Linked DNA regions of Arabidopsis thaliana. The protein of the gene in region 1 interacts with the protein of each later gene in a pairwise test. Each region holds a gene or a part of one and is shown on either strand. Other genes may lie near its edges.

Region 1 (6,826 bases):
AAAAAAAGGTTTTAGGCTCTTTTACATTTGTTAGAAATTACCGATTACTAAACTAGAATAAAAGGGAGTGTTTCCACTAAATCGACGCACTAATACATGTTCTTTAAACGACAATTTGTTCTTTTGGTACATTGATTTCGGCTTTAAAAAATAAAAAAGCTTAATATGCTCACATACGATTATAACGCCATGTTTTGAATTGCAGCTCATATATCAAAGGATGCATGGAAGAATGATCTGAAACCACAAGATGTCCCAGGTTTAGATTTCTTTGATATGCATACCATTCAAAACGCCACCAATAATTTTAGTCTATCAAACAAACTCGGACAAGGTGGATTTGGTTCAGTTTACAAGGTCAGAGAATTTATCCTTTTTGCTCTTCTCGATTCTCTGTTTATACTCTCAAAATGACCTTCTGCAATTCTGTTTTAGGGAAAGCTGCAAGATGGGAAAGAAATTGCTGTTAAACGGCTTTCTAGCAGCTCTGGACAGGGAAAAGAGGAGTTTATGAATGAAATAGTACTCATCTCAAAACTCCAACACAGAAACTTAGTCAGGGTTTTGGGATGTTGCATCGAAGAAGAAGAGAAGCTATTGATTTATGAGTTTATGGTGAACAAAAGCCTTGATACCTTTCTCTTTGGTTGGTCCCTTCTTGCATCCTTCCTTTACTATTCAGTAACTTTTTATATATATGTGGAAACTGTTTGTCTGACAGTTTTATTTCTTAGATTCAAGAAAAAGGCTGGAGATTGATTGGCCAAAAAGATTTGATATCATTCAAGGTATTGCACGTGGACTTCTCTATCTCCACCATGACTCACGCCTCAGAGTTATTCACCGAGACCTGAAGGTCAGCAACATCCTTCTGGATGAGAAAATGAACCCAAAAATATCAGATTTTGGATTGGCTCGGATGTATCAGGGGACCGAATATCAGGATAACACTCGCAGGGTTGTAGGAACTCTGTAAGAATCTAATTTCAAAGACATGATTAACTAAGATTCAAAGTTAATATCAGATATTAACTTGGGAGAAACTATTTGATATATGTGCAGAGGATATATGTCTCCAGAGTATGCATGGACTGGGATGTTCTCTGAGAAATCTGACATCTACAGCTTCGGAGTTCTAATGTTAGAAATCATCAGTGGAGAGAAGATCTCAAGATTCAGCTATGGCGTAGAAGGAAAAACCCTTATTGCATATGTAAGTAAGATTTATAGGCATTGACACAGTAAGATCTTGTATTTGATTCTCATTAAGTGCGCAGATCTCGCTGACTGTTTGAAAACATGTATTGCTCTTATATTCGCTTGGTCTGAAATCACAACAGGCGTGGGAATCTTGGTCTGAATACAGAGGAATTGATCTTTTGGACCAAGATCTTGCTGATTCATGTCACCCATTAGAAGTTGGGAGATGTATTCAAATCGGCTTGCTCTGTGTACAACACCAACCTGCAGACAGACCCAACACACTTGAGTTGCTGGCTATGCTCACCACAACATCAGATCTTCCATCACCAAAACAACCCACATTTGCATTTCACACGAGAGATGACGAATCACTGTCTAACGATTTGATCACCGTCAATGGGATGACGCAATCTGTGATCCTTGGGCGTTAAGAAACCATTTGTGATGGAAATTGTGGAATTGAAGTGTGTTAAAATTGTTCTCTTAAAGAGTTCATTTTTCAGTGTTAATGACTTCACCATTGTTTAAAATAAAAACTTCAACATTGTTTAATCCAAATAAAAAGGTTTTTAACTTAAACATCTCACGAACTTGGAAGAGATTGAAGGCAACCCAGAAGAGTCGATGGATCCTTCGACCTATATGTTGGCTCATTCAGTGGTTCTCGACCCATCTCCTATTCTGGGGTTTCTTCGGTTCCAATGTGTGTCGTCTCACAACTTCTGCTCTCGCCGGTGACACCAATGTTAAATTTGGGGGAGAATCACTTAAGCCCAGATTTTGGGAGTTGGAATCAGCCATACTTCCATGTGTAGTTTCGGTCTCGATTTGGGGAACTAGAGTTCAACGACATTAGCGATTATGCACTCTAAGTGTTCGGTGAAATGCTTGAACGAGATTTAACGTAGTTTGCAGTACAAGAACTTGTTCCGGTATATCTAGTCAACAATTTAAACTGTGTTGTAAGATAAAAACAACGACTTCAGAAACCAATAAGAAAGATTTGATGTTAATTCATCTGATTTATTCATATATTCATCTTTCAATTGTTGCAGGGAATGTAGATTTGGTTCTTGGACTCCAAGACCTGGCAAGGACATGGAAACAACACAATATTTCAGTCTGAAGTCGATCGATTGGATTCTTCTAGCCAGGCTATAAATTCTCATCTTTTGACTAATGCAGGGTATACATGCCTAACATTCACTGGTTCTGGCCCAACAACTTAACAATGACATGAAAAATGTTGCTTTGTGAGGTCAAATGTTGATTGGGTAAAAGGTTAGACTTCTTGGAAATTATTGAAATTTTTTTGGTATTATGAGATAAGGTTTAGTAAAGTTTCATGGAAATTACTACTCACAATGCCAAGTGGGGAACCTAGACTGTTTTTTGCTGAGATATTGCAGCTTTGAATCAGTCAATATGTCAAGACTCTATATTGCAGACCTTTTGCTCATCTCTTGTGGTCAACATTGCTTATAGGTCCCAGAAAACAGTTCCCACAAGTCCCTGCGATTTTGCTTTTCCTGGCTAACTTTCTCACTTCGCTTCATAAACTAATGTTGAAAAATCTGATTGATTGATATTTTCATCTCAGAGTGTAGATGTCTAACTTTCATTGGTTCCAAGGTCAACTTGAATGGTTGATTGGGTTAAAAGGTTAGACTTCTCCGTGACAAACTGAAAACATAATTAATATTATTTTTATACTAATAATTTGATTGTGGATGAAGTAATGCAGAATTTTGGAACACAACTGCGGTCAGGCAGTCAGCATTGTTTTAAGGTCCTCACAAGCCCCTGACTTTGTTATTGTGACTTACTTTCTTGCTAAATAAATAATTCTTTGTTTTTTAAATTAATCTTAAGAAAATAGTTCTTGTAGACACATGGGGAAGAAGAGGATTGTGTTCTTTGCTTGTTTGCTCTTGTTTACCGTCCTATTACGTTTTAGCTATGCAGGGATAACGACAGAAAGTCCTTTGTCAGTCGAACAAACACTCAGCTCCTCTAATGGAATTTATGAATTGGGGTTTTTCAGTCCTAATAACTCCCAAAATCTGTATGTGGGAATCTGGTTCAAGGGTATCATTCCCCGGGTGGTTGTGTGGGTGGCAAATAGAGAAACACCTACTACAGACACATCGGCAAATCTTGCTATCAGCAGCAATGGTAGTCTTCTATTGTTTAATGGCAAACATGGTGTTGTGTGGTCCATCGGAGAAAATTTTGCATCTAATGGGTCTCGTGCAGAGCTTACAGACAACGGAAATCTAGTTGTCATAGACAATGCTTCGGGAAGAACTTTATGGGAAAGCTTTGAGCACTTTGGTGACACTATGCTACCTTTCTCAAGCCTGATGTATAATCTCGCCACAGGTGAGAAGCGGGTGTTGACTTCTTGGAAAACTGACACTGATCCATCGCCTGGCGTATTTGTGGGTCAGATTACACCACAAGTGCCATCACAGGTGCTTATTATGAGAGGCTCGACGCGTTATTATAGAACCGGTCCATGGGCTAAAACAAGGTTCACAGGGATACCACTAATGGATGACACATATGCAAGTCCATTCAGCCTTCAGCAGGATGCTAACGGGTCAGGATTCTTTACTTATTTTGATAGAAGTTTCAAACTTTCACGTATAATTATATCATCAGAAGGATCAATGAAAAGGTTTCGGCATAATGGAACGGACTGGGAATTAAGCTACATGGCTCCAGCCAATTCATGCGATATTTACGGTGTATGTGGACCATTTGGGTTGTGTATTGTGTCAGTACCTTTAAAGTGCAAATGCTTGAAAGGATTTGTTCCTCATTCCACTGAGGAATGGAAAAGAGGAAACTGGACTGGTGGTTGTGCGAGGCTTACGGAACTACATTGTCAAGGAAACTCTACTGGCAAAGATGTAAATATCTTCCATCCTGTTACCAACGTAAAGCTTCCAGACTTTTACGAATATGAAAGTTCTGTGGATGCTGAAGAATGCCACCAAAGTTGCCTCCACAATTGTTCTTGCTTGGCCTTTGCTTATATCCATGGAATAGGGTGCTTAATCTGGAACCAGAACCTAATGGACGCTGTGCAATTTTCTGCTGGAGGAGAAATTCTGTCCATTCGTCTTGCACACTCTGAACTAGGTACGGCTTAAAAGATAACATAGACGATCTTGTCTGTTAATTATAACTTTGTCTTCAACTCTAGTGTTCTCTTTGATAGCAATATGGTTTATTGTTTAATTTATTTATGTCTTAAATATCTCAGGTGGAAATAAGCGCAACAAAATCATTGTTGCTAGTACTGTGAGCCTTTCTCTGTTTGTGATATTGACTTCTGCTGCATTTGGTTTCTGGAGATACAGAGTGAAACATAAAGGTACACACTGATTATCATAGTATCTCTTTGTCGTTACATTTATTACAAATTACTGAAAACTTAAATTGATAAAAAGCGAAGTTTTTCCCACTACGTCAAACCTACACTAAATCGACGCACTCTATGTTCTTTGAACTATCATATGTTCTCTTTGCTTCAAAATATCTGAAGATATTATGACCTAACACGCGAGTTCTAACTCAATTTTCAGCCTATACGTTAAAGGATGCCTGGAGGAATGATCTGAAATCAAAGGAGGTCCCAGGTTTAGAATTTTTTGAGATGAATACCATACAAACTGCCACCAATAATTTCAGTCTATCAAACAAACTCGGACAAGGTGGATTTGGTTCTGTTTACAAGGTCAGGAGAAGTTATCCTTTTTGCTCTTCAAGATCCTCTGTTTATGCCCTCGAACTGACCTTCTGCAATCTGTTTCAGGGAAAGTTACAAGATGGGAAAGAAATTGCTGTAAAACAGCTTTCTAGCAGCTCCGGACAGGGAAAAGAGGAGTTCATGAATGAAATAGTACTGATATCAAAACTCCAACACAGAAACTTAGTCCGGGTTTTGGGATGTTGCATCGAAGGAGAAGAGAAACTACTGATCTATGAGTTTATGTTGAACAAAAGCCTTGATACTTTTGTCTTTGGTGGGTCACTTCTTGGTCTTTCTCTTTTTGTTTTGCAGCTTTTTCTCCCTATACCGGAATTTCTTATCTGATAACTTGTATATGGTAGATGCAAGAAAAAAGCTCGAGGTTGATTGGCCAAAGAGATTTGATATCGTTCAAGGTATTGCACGTGGACTTCTTTATCTTCACCGTGACTCACGCCTCAAGGTAATTCACCGAGACCTGAAGGTCAGCAACATTCTTCTGGATGAGAAAATGAACCCGAAAATATCAGATTTTGGATTGGCTCGGATGTATGAGGGAACCCAATGTCAGGACAAAACTCGCAGGGTTGTAGGAACTCTGTAAGAACCTGTCTTTAATAACATGCTTGGCAAGATTCATTGTCATGTTAGTCCAATATTAAACTAGGTGATATGATACTATTTTATTTTTGACCAGAGGATATATGTCTCCTGAGTATGCATGGACCGGAGTATTCTCTGAGAAATCAGACATTTACAGCTTCGGAGTTCTACTGCTAGAAATTATCATCGGAGAGAAGATCTCAAGGTTCAGCTATGGCGAAGAAGGAAAAACACTTCTCGCATATGTAAGTTAATTCTTTATGTTTTCACACATTTACAAAGGATTTCAAAAGTGGTTCTTGCTCTGATACTCTTTAAGATATGAAACTAAACGTCTAAACAACAGGCATGGGAATCTTGGGGTGAAACCAAAGGAATTGATCTTTTGGACCAAGATCTTGCTGATTCATGTCGTCCGTTAGAAGTTGGAAGGTGTGTTCAGATTGGTCTGCTCTGTGTACAACACCAACCTGCAGACAGACCAAACACACTTGAGTTGCTGGCTATGCTCACGACAACATCAGATCTTCCATCACCAAAACAACCCACATTTGTAGTGCACTCTAGGGATGATGAATCATCTCTGTCTAAGGATTTGTTTACCGTCAATGAGATGACACAATCTATGATCCTTGGGCGTTAAGAAACCACCGTGATGGAAATTGTACTACTGATGTTGATAACTTCAATTTTATTATCATTTTTTTTTATGAATGTTGAAATCTTCAGAACTGATCCATTCTTTTATTGCGTTTTTTTTTCGTTCTTTAAGAAACCATTTAGTTGGTGTATTACCCATGGTTCTTTAAGAAAAGCTTTAAAGTTGCGCTTTAGGCTTACAAGTTACTGATTCTGAGGCTGACACAGTGTTTCAAGCTAAGGATTCATTTCGTTGGGTCCAACTGGTGAAAATTGTTTAGAGGTGCTTATTTTAGACGAGTCATCACTCATCACTACTTCATTATTGTCTAAGAAATGTCTGATTAATTAAACATTGATGTATCTTTCACAGATTAGGTCAATCAATGCGTGATTGATTGGGTTAAATGTCGGGTTCTTAAAGTCAGATTGACCATTCGATTGATGCAAGAGTATATATTCCTATCATTGACAAGAACATGAAAATGACAATGTTGCTATGGGAGAAACAGATTGGGTAAAAACGTTGGACTTTTTCGTGGCCATTACATAAGTATTATATTTATTTTCTATTACTATATTAAGCAATGCAGAATTTTCGAACATAAGTCTGGTTTGGTC
Region 2 (5,878 bases), on another chromosome or scaffold:
AGAAATTTGGGAAATTTTCTAATTTAGCGTTTATTTTTTTTTACACGGTTTCTTTAATCTAAGACTCGGGTTAAAAAATTGGAAATTCTAATGCGATTTTTGCTTTTCTATTAATAAAGTAAAACTTGGTGAGCAAGTAAAACACCCTTGGTGCCCAAGTTGTTTCTGTTCCTCTTTATAACTATAAATTCCGTGACTCGATAATTTCTGTTTTCTGAAATTGAGAGGAAGAGACTGATTCAAAACCTTTTTTTTTCCTATCTTGTAGATTCTTAGATTGCGACTATAAAGAAGAAGATGGCTGTATATGAACAAACCGGAACCGAGCAGCCGAAGAAAAGGAAATCTAGGGCTCGAGCAGGTGGTTTAACGGTGGCTGATAGGCTAAAGAAGTGGAAAGAGTACAACGAGATTGTTGAAGCTTCGGCTGTTAAAGAAGGAGAGAAACCGAAACGCAAAGTTCCTGCGAAAGGGTCGAAGAAAGGTTGTATGAAGGGTAAAGGAGGACCAGATAATTCTCACTGTAGTTTTAGAGGAGTTAGACAAAGGATTTGGGGTAAATGGGTTGCAGAGATTCGAGAACCGAAAATAGGAACTAGACTTTGGCTTGGTACTTTTCCTACCGCGGAAAAAGCTGCTTCCGCTTATGATGAAGCGGCTACCGCTATGTACGGTTCATTGGCTCGTCTTAACTTCCCTCAGTCTGTTGGGTCTGAGTTTACTAGTACGTCTAGTCAATCTGAGGTGTGTACGGTTGAAAATAAGGCGGTTGTTTGTGGTGATGTTTGTGTGAAGCATGAAGATACTGATTGTGAATCTAATCCATTTAGTCAGATTTTAGATGTTAGAGAAGAGTCTTGTGGAACCAGGCCGGACAGTTGCACGGTTGGACATCAAGATATGAATTCTTCGCTGAATTACGATTTGCTGTTAGAGTTTGAGCAGCAGTATTGGGGCCAAGTTTTGCAGGAGAAAGAGAAACCGAAGCAGGAAGAAGAGGAGATACAGCAACAGCAACAGGAACAGCAACAGCAACAGCTGCAACCGGATTTGCTTACTGTTGCAGATTACGGTTGGCCTTGGTCTAATGATATTGTAAATGATCAGACTTCTTGGGATCCTAATGAGTGCTTTGATATTAATGAACTCCTTGGAGATTTGAATGAACCTGGTCCCCATCAGAGCCAAGACCAAAACCACGTAAATTCTGGTAGTTATGATTTGCATCCGCTTCATCTCGAGCCACACGATGGTCACGAGTTCAATGGTTTGAGTTCTCTGGATATTTGAGAGTTCTGAGGCAATGGTCCTACAAGACTACAACATAATCTTTGGATTGATCATAGGAGAAACAAGAAATAGGTGTTAATGATCTGATTCACAATGAAAAAATATTTAATAACTCTATAGTTTTTGTTCTTTCCTTGGATCATGAACTGTTGCTTCTCATCTATTGAGTTAATATAGCGAATAGCAGAGTTTCTCTCTTTCTTCTCTTTGTAGAACAATAAGTGTACGTAATTAACAAAAATTATAACCATAATTTACAATTACAGTTCTAAAAAAATCTTGAATTTAGAGAAAAGAATCATGGATAAAATAACTTGGCAAAGAAAAGCTCGTTCCAAGTATCTTGAAGACCAGGCAAGCACCAATGTATACAGTCTGAGTAGCTAGCCGGATTTGCTAGCTGCTCCTTCGTCAATGGGCTCCATTGCTTCTTGTAGATTGACGTGTGCGCGTCTTTCCGATAGCCAGAGAGTTGTGTAATGTTAAGTACCGTCACCGGAAACTCTGCTCTTTGGTCTAATTCCTCTCCTATCACTTTCATTAAGGTTTTGCTGCAGTCTGATGGCCAATGGTTCATGTCTTGGATCGGTGTCGTTTGATTGTAACAATTTTTTCCTTGTTCGCCTCCCCAATCCTCGCCCCTGATCATGGAGGTAGACAAATATGAAACCTTTGTATGCTAAATCTTAGTGTGGTTTCTAATTGCGGATCATGTTATAAGCCACATTTACTTAAACTATTAAAGATAAACCGGATCAATCTAAACTCCATTACTCATTTCATTCAATACCAAATCCGGACTACATTGTTCTAAGCCATATATCTCCTCTCTTTTTGGTTCCTGGTTTTGAATTTGAAGTGTTTATAGATAGTTAAATCACAGTAAAGTTCAAGAAGTTACTGACTTGTAATGAGTAGGAGACATGGTAGCAAAGAAAACCCTCGTCTTCAATGGATCCATATTCTTCTTCACCCATTTAACCATAGTCTTCAACGCCATTCTATAAGCATCTTCACTCTCCATCTCAACGATTCTCTTCTTCTCATCCTTGAAAGAACCTTCCCTTCAAATAACAAATCGAAAAAAATAATCAAATCATAAGTATTATACAGAAAAGTATTTGAGAACCTATACTTAAGAAACAATGACGAGAGCTTTAAATTTCATGATTGATAACATACAAGATCTTCATTTTGAAGCCAGTCCTCCACCACAAGTATGTGTTGAACACAACTATATCAGCCCCTCGCCAATGCCTACCGTGTTTGTTGATCGATCCTTTCCTCACAATTCGATCTGATACTCTATGAACTGTTGCGTTATCTGAATTCGATTCTAGAAGAAACGGTGCCCAATAGAACTCAATCGTTGCATTGTAATCCTACATAAACATACCACAAGAATCTATAAGAATCCTAACCAAGCCAACAGTTTTCACATCTAAGCTTAATCTTTGTCATCCTCATACTCAGATCTCTATGAATTGTAACATCAGATTCTACAAAGCAACTTCAATGGCTTCCGCAAGACTTTCTAAATCTGAACCAAACTTACCTTGAGAGAGAAGACGGTGAGTGATCCGAAAGTATCCATGGATTTGGAGTTCTCTGGGATTTGTGAATGAAGAAGACAGATGAGAGAAACATACATTCCTCTGTTCAACGAATCTCCAACGAACATCATCTTCTTCCCTCTTAAGCTCTCCAACATCACCGTCGCATTAAACCTATTAACACATTCAACAACCACAGAGCAAATCCGATCTGAAGATCAATCACCGAATCGCATTCAAAATCGAACGGAGAGAGAGACTAACGAAGGAAGTGAGCAGGAATCAGGTCGCCATCTCCATGACTGATAATCACTATCGGGACGGCCATGCGTGCGGCAAGTGAGCTGCGGCTGAATGTACGGACACTCGGATTCTCTGTAAAGTGGACGCGTTGACCAGTCTTTGACCCAATTCCCTTTGAAGACATCGCATCCTTCCGGCGTTTTACCTACTGCAAAAGCAGGTGGCGGAGGAGATGGCGGTGGAGGAGATGGTGGTGGAGGAGACGGTGGTGGAGGAGAAGGCGGAGGAGGAGATGTTGGTGGAGGCGGAGGAGGTTCGTCAACTACAACGACGATTGCGGATTGGTGGACGATCGTCGGAGAGTGAAGAGATCGACGAGAGAAAGAGATGAAATCGTGGCCGTAGATGAAGGCGGCGAGTAAGATGAAAGCGAGTACGGTGAAGAAGAAGTGTGTGAGACGGCGTTTTCTACGGTTAGACGGTGAAAACAACGCCGTTGTCATATTTTTTTTTTTCTTTTATTATAACGTTTACCTTTTTTTTTCTTTTTCCTTTTTACGCCTTTCTCTTTTTATGGTGTAGTAATGACAAAATTTGGTTTGATTAAAACTTTAATTTGGAGTATACTGAATTATTATAGTATATGATTTTAATGTTTATAAACAAAGCTATAATTTGTTGTACTTGCACGATCCAAAACCAAACCCATGTTCTTGCCCATAATTAAGCACGACTGTTTATATTTTAATTCAAACTTACAAAATTGGAACAATTTCGTTGCTTGTATCCAATGAACTTATCTATCTCCAAATTAGTCTGAATTCCAATTTGGATTACGGTGTTATAAAACAAAAAGAAAGCAAGAAAAGCCACTACACTTTTTGCTAATCACATGTTTGAACTTTTAAAGGATCAACAATAACATTTAACTTTGTTTGTATTCAAAGGCCTTATAAGCATTTTATCAGATCCAATAAAGAAGAATCCAACTTTTCATGCCTTAATCAGTAATCACAGGCCAAGGCCCATATAAATATCTTATCTCTCTGCTTTCGTGTAAGTTTACTTTATAAAAAAAATGAAATTGTCATGTCGTTTAGATTCACATCAAAAGAATGATAAATTCACATGCTCTGTTTTTTTTCTTCTTTAATTTGGCGTACGAATAAACCAAAAGAAGAATAAATTAAATAAAAAGCCATCGTCATCATCTTCCTTCGTTGACCACTGCAAAATGCGAGAACTTCTTCGCGCCTATTTCTCTCGAAGAACTCTCGTATCTCTTTACAATCTCTTCTTCACCCTCTCCCGTAAGCTCCTCACTTCATTTCCCCTCTCTCTCCTCATGCCCAAATCCAACGATGACGACGTTGCACAATCTGAAGCCGTTCCGTTGCTTGATCTTGTCAAGCCATCGTTACCTATATCTTTCCCGATCAAAGCTCTTCAAGACCTGAAATCTCGCTCTTACTTTGATTCCTTTCATTTCCAGTTTAATCGCTCCACAGTACCTTTCCGCCGAAACTCCGACTGTTTACCGAATCGCCCAAGGGTTTTAGTCTGCCATGACATGAAAGGAGGGTATGTAGATGACAAGTGGGTACAAGGGTGTGAAAACGAAGCCGGATTTGCGATTTGGCATTGGTACTTGATGGACATTTTTGTTTACTTCTCTCATTCTCTGGTCACTATTCCTCCTCCTTGCTGGACCAATACTGCTCATAGGCATGGCGTTAAAGTAAGTAAGCTCAAAACTTTTTGATTGTTCAACATCCAAAGTTTCGATTTTTATTGAGATATCTCTGAGTTTGCTGATTAGGATGATAAAATTAGAGAGTTTGATTGTTTGTGTACAGAGATATGAATATTGCTGAGGATTTTATTGGTAAAAGTGTTTACTTTCTTGTGTGTTATGGAAATATAAAGGTATTGGGGACTTTCATCACAGAATGGGATGAAGGAAAAGCTACCTGCAAAGAGATGCTTGCCACAAAGGAGTCTGCTCAAATGTATGCAGAGCGTTTGGCTGAACTTGCTACTGCTCTAGGCTTTGATGGGTGGCTGGTGAGCATTTTTTGCTTGGTTTTTATAAGATATCTGTATTTGATGGGTGGCTGGTGAAGAAAGACTTCTATAATATATAGACTGTCACTTGCAGATAAATATAGAGAATGATATAGATGAGGAACAGATTCCAAATATGAAGGAATTCGTCAGCCATCTAAAAAAAGTCTTGCATTTATCGACACCTGGGGCTTTAGTCATATGGTGAGTTGATCAGAAGTTTTTCTTTGTTCTTTTTGTATACCACTTTGTTCTGATAACTTTCTGCAGGTATGACAGTGTCACTGTTCGTGGTAATCTTCAGTGGCAAGATCAATTGACTGAGCTGAACAAACCTTTCTTTGACTTATGCGATGGAATATTCATGAACTACACATGGAAGGTCTGTCTATGGGTTTGATCAATCTCTCGAGTCTCAGTTTCTTCTATTTGTCTTGTTTTACTATTAGTGAGTAATGATGTATCAGGAGAGCTACCCAAACCTATCAGCTGAAGTTGCTGGGGACAGAAAATTCGATGTCTACATGGGAATTGATGTTTTTGGGCGGGGCTCTTTTGGTGGTGGGCAATGGACTGTATGTCTCAGCCACTCTTTAATATTTGCTTCTCTATTGGTGTAGAGTACAAAACAATGATCTATACTTAAATATTTCTTTTCTTCCTATTCTTTTACATGCTAGGTAAATGCTGCTCTGGATTTGCTGAAGAGAAACAATGTGTCAGCTGCC

What was found.
Region 2: the proteins of AT1G61490 (region 1) and TBL32 interact in a protein complementation assay, tested with the Arabidopsis thaliana proteins (one large-scale study listed by BioGRID).

What each region holds. Positions count from the first base shown.
Region 1 is NC_003070.9:22,684,537-22,691,362, reverse strand, and holds AT1G61490 (S-locus lectin protein kinase family protein), read left to right. Parts: upstream 1-1,751; 5' UTR 1,752-2,135; intron 2,136-2,258; 5' UTR 2,259-3,095; coding exon 3,096-4,350; intron 4,351-4,474; coding exon 4,475-4,585; intron 4,586-4,796; coding exon 4,797-4,948; intron 4,949-5,026; coding exon 5,027-5,237; intron 5,238-5,325; coding exon 5,326-5,563; intron 5,564-5,660; coding exon 5,661-5,811; intron 5,812-5,912; coding exon 5,913-6,209; 3' UTR 6,210-6,232; downstream 6,233-6,826. Other genes in the region: AT1G61500 (S-locus lectin protein kinase family protein), read left to right, coding at 206-357, 436-646, 735-972, 1,063-1,213, 1,341-1,634.
Region 2 is NC_003074.8:3,455,712-3,461,589, forward strand, and holds TBL32 (TRICHOME BIREFRINGENCE-LIKE 32), read right to left. Parts: upstream 3,670-5,878; 5' UTR 3,590-3,669; coding exon 3,108-3,589; intron 3,018-3,107; coding exon 2,846-3,017; intron 2,673-2,845; coding exon 2,473-2,672; intron 2,355-2,472; coding exon 2,196-2,354; intron 1,932-2,195; coding exon 1,589-1,931; 3' UTR 1,291-1,588; downstream 1-1,290. Other genes in the region: DREB2B (DRE/CRT-binding protein 2B), read left to right, coding at 298-1,290; ENGase85B (Glycosyl hydrolase family 85), read left to right, coding at 4,321-4,824, 5,013-5,150, 5,245-5,354, 5,421-5,532, 5,618-5,725, 5,831-5,878.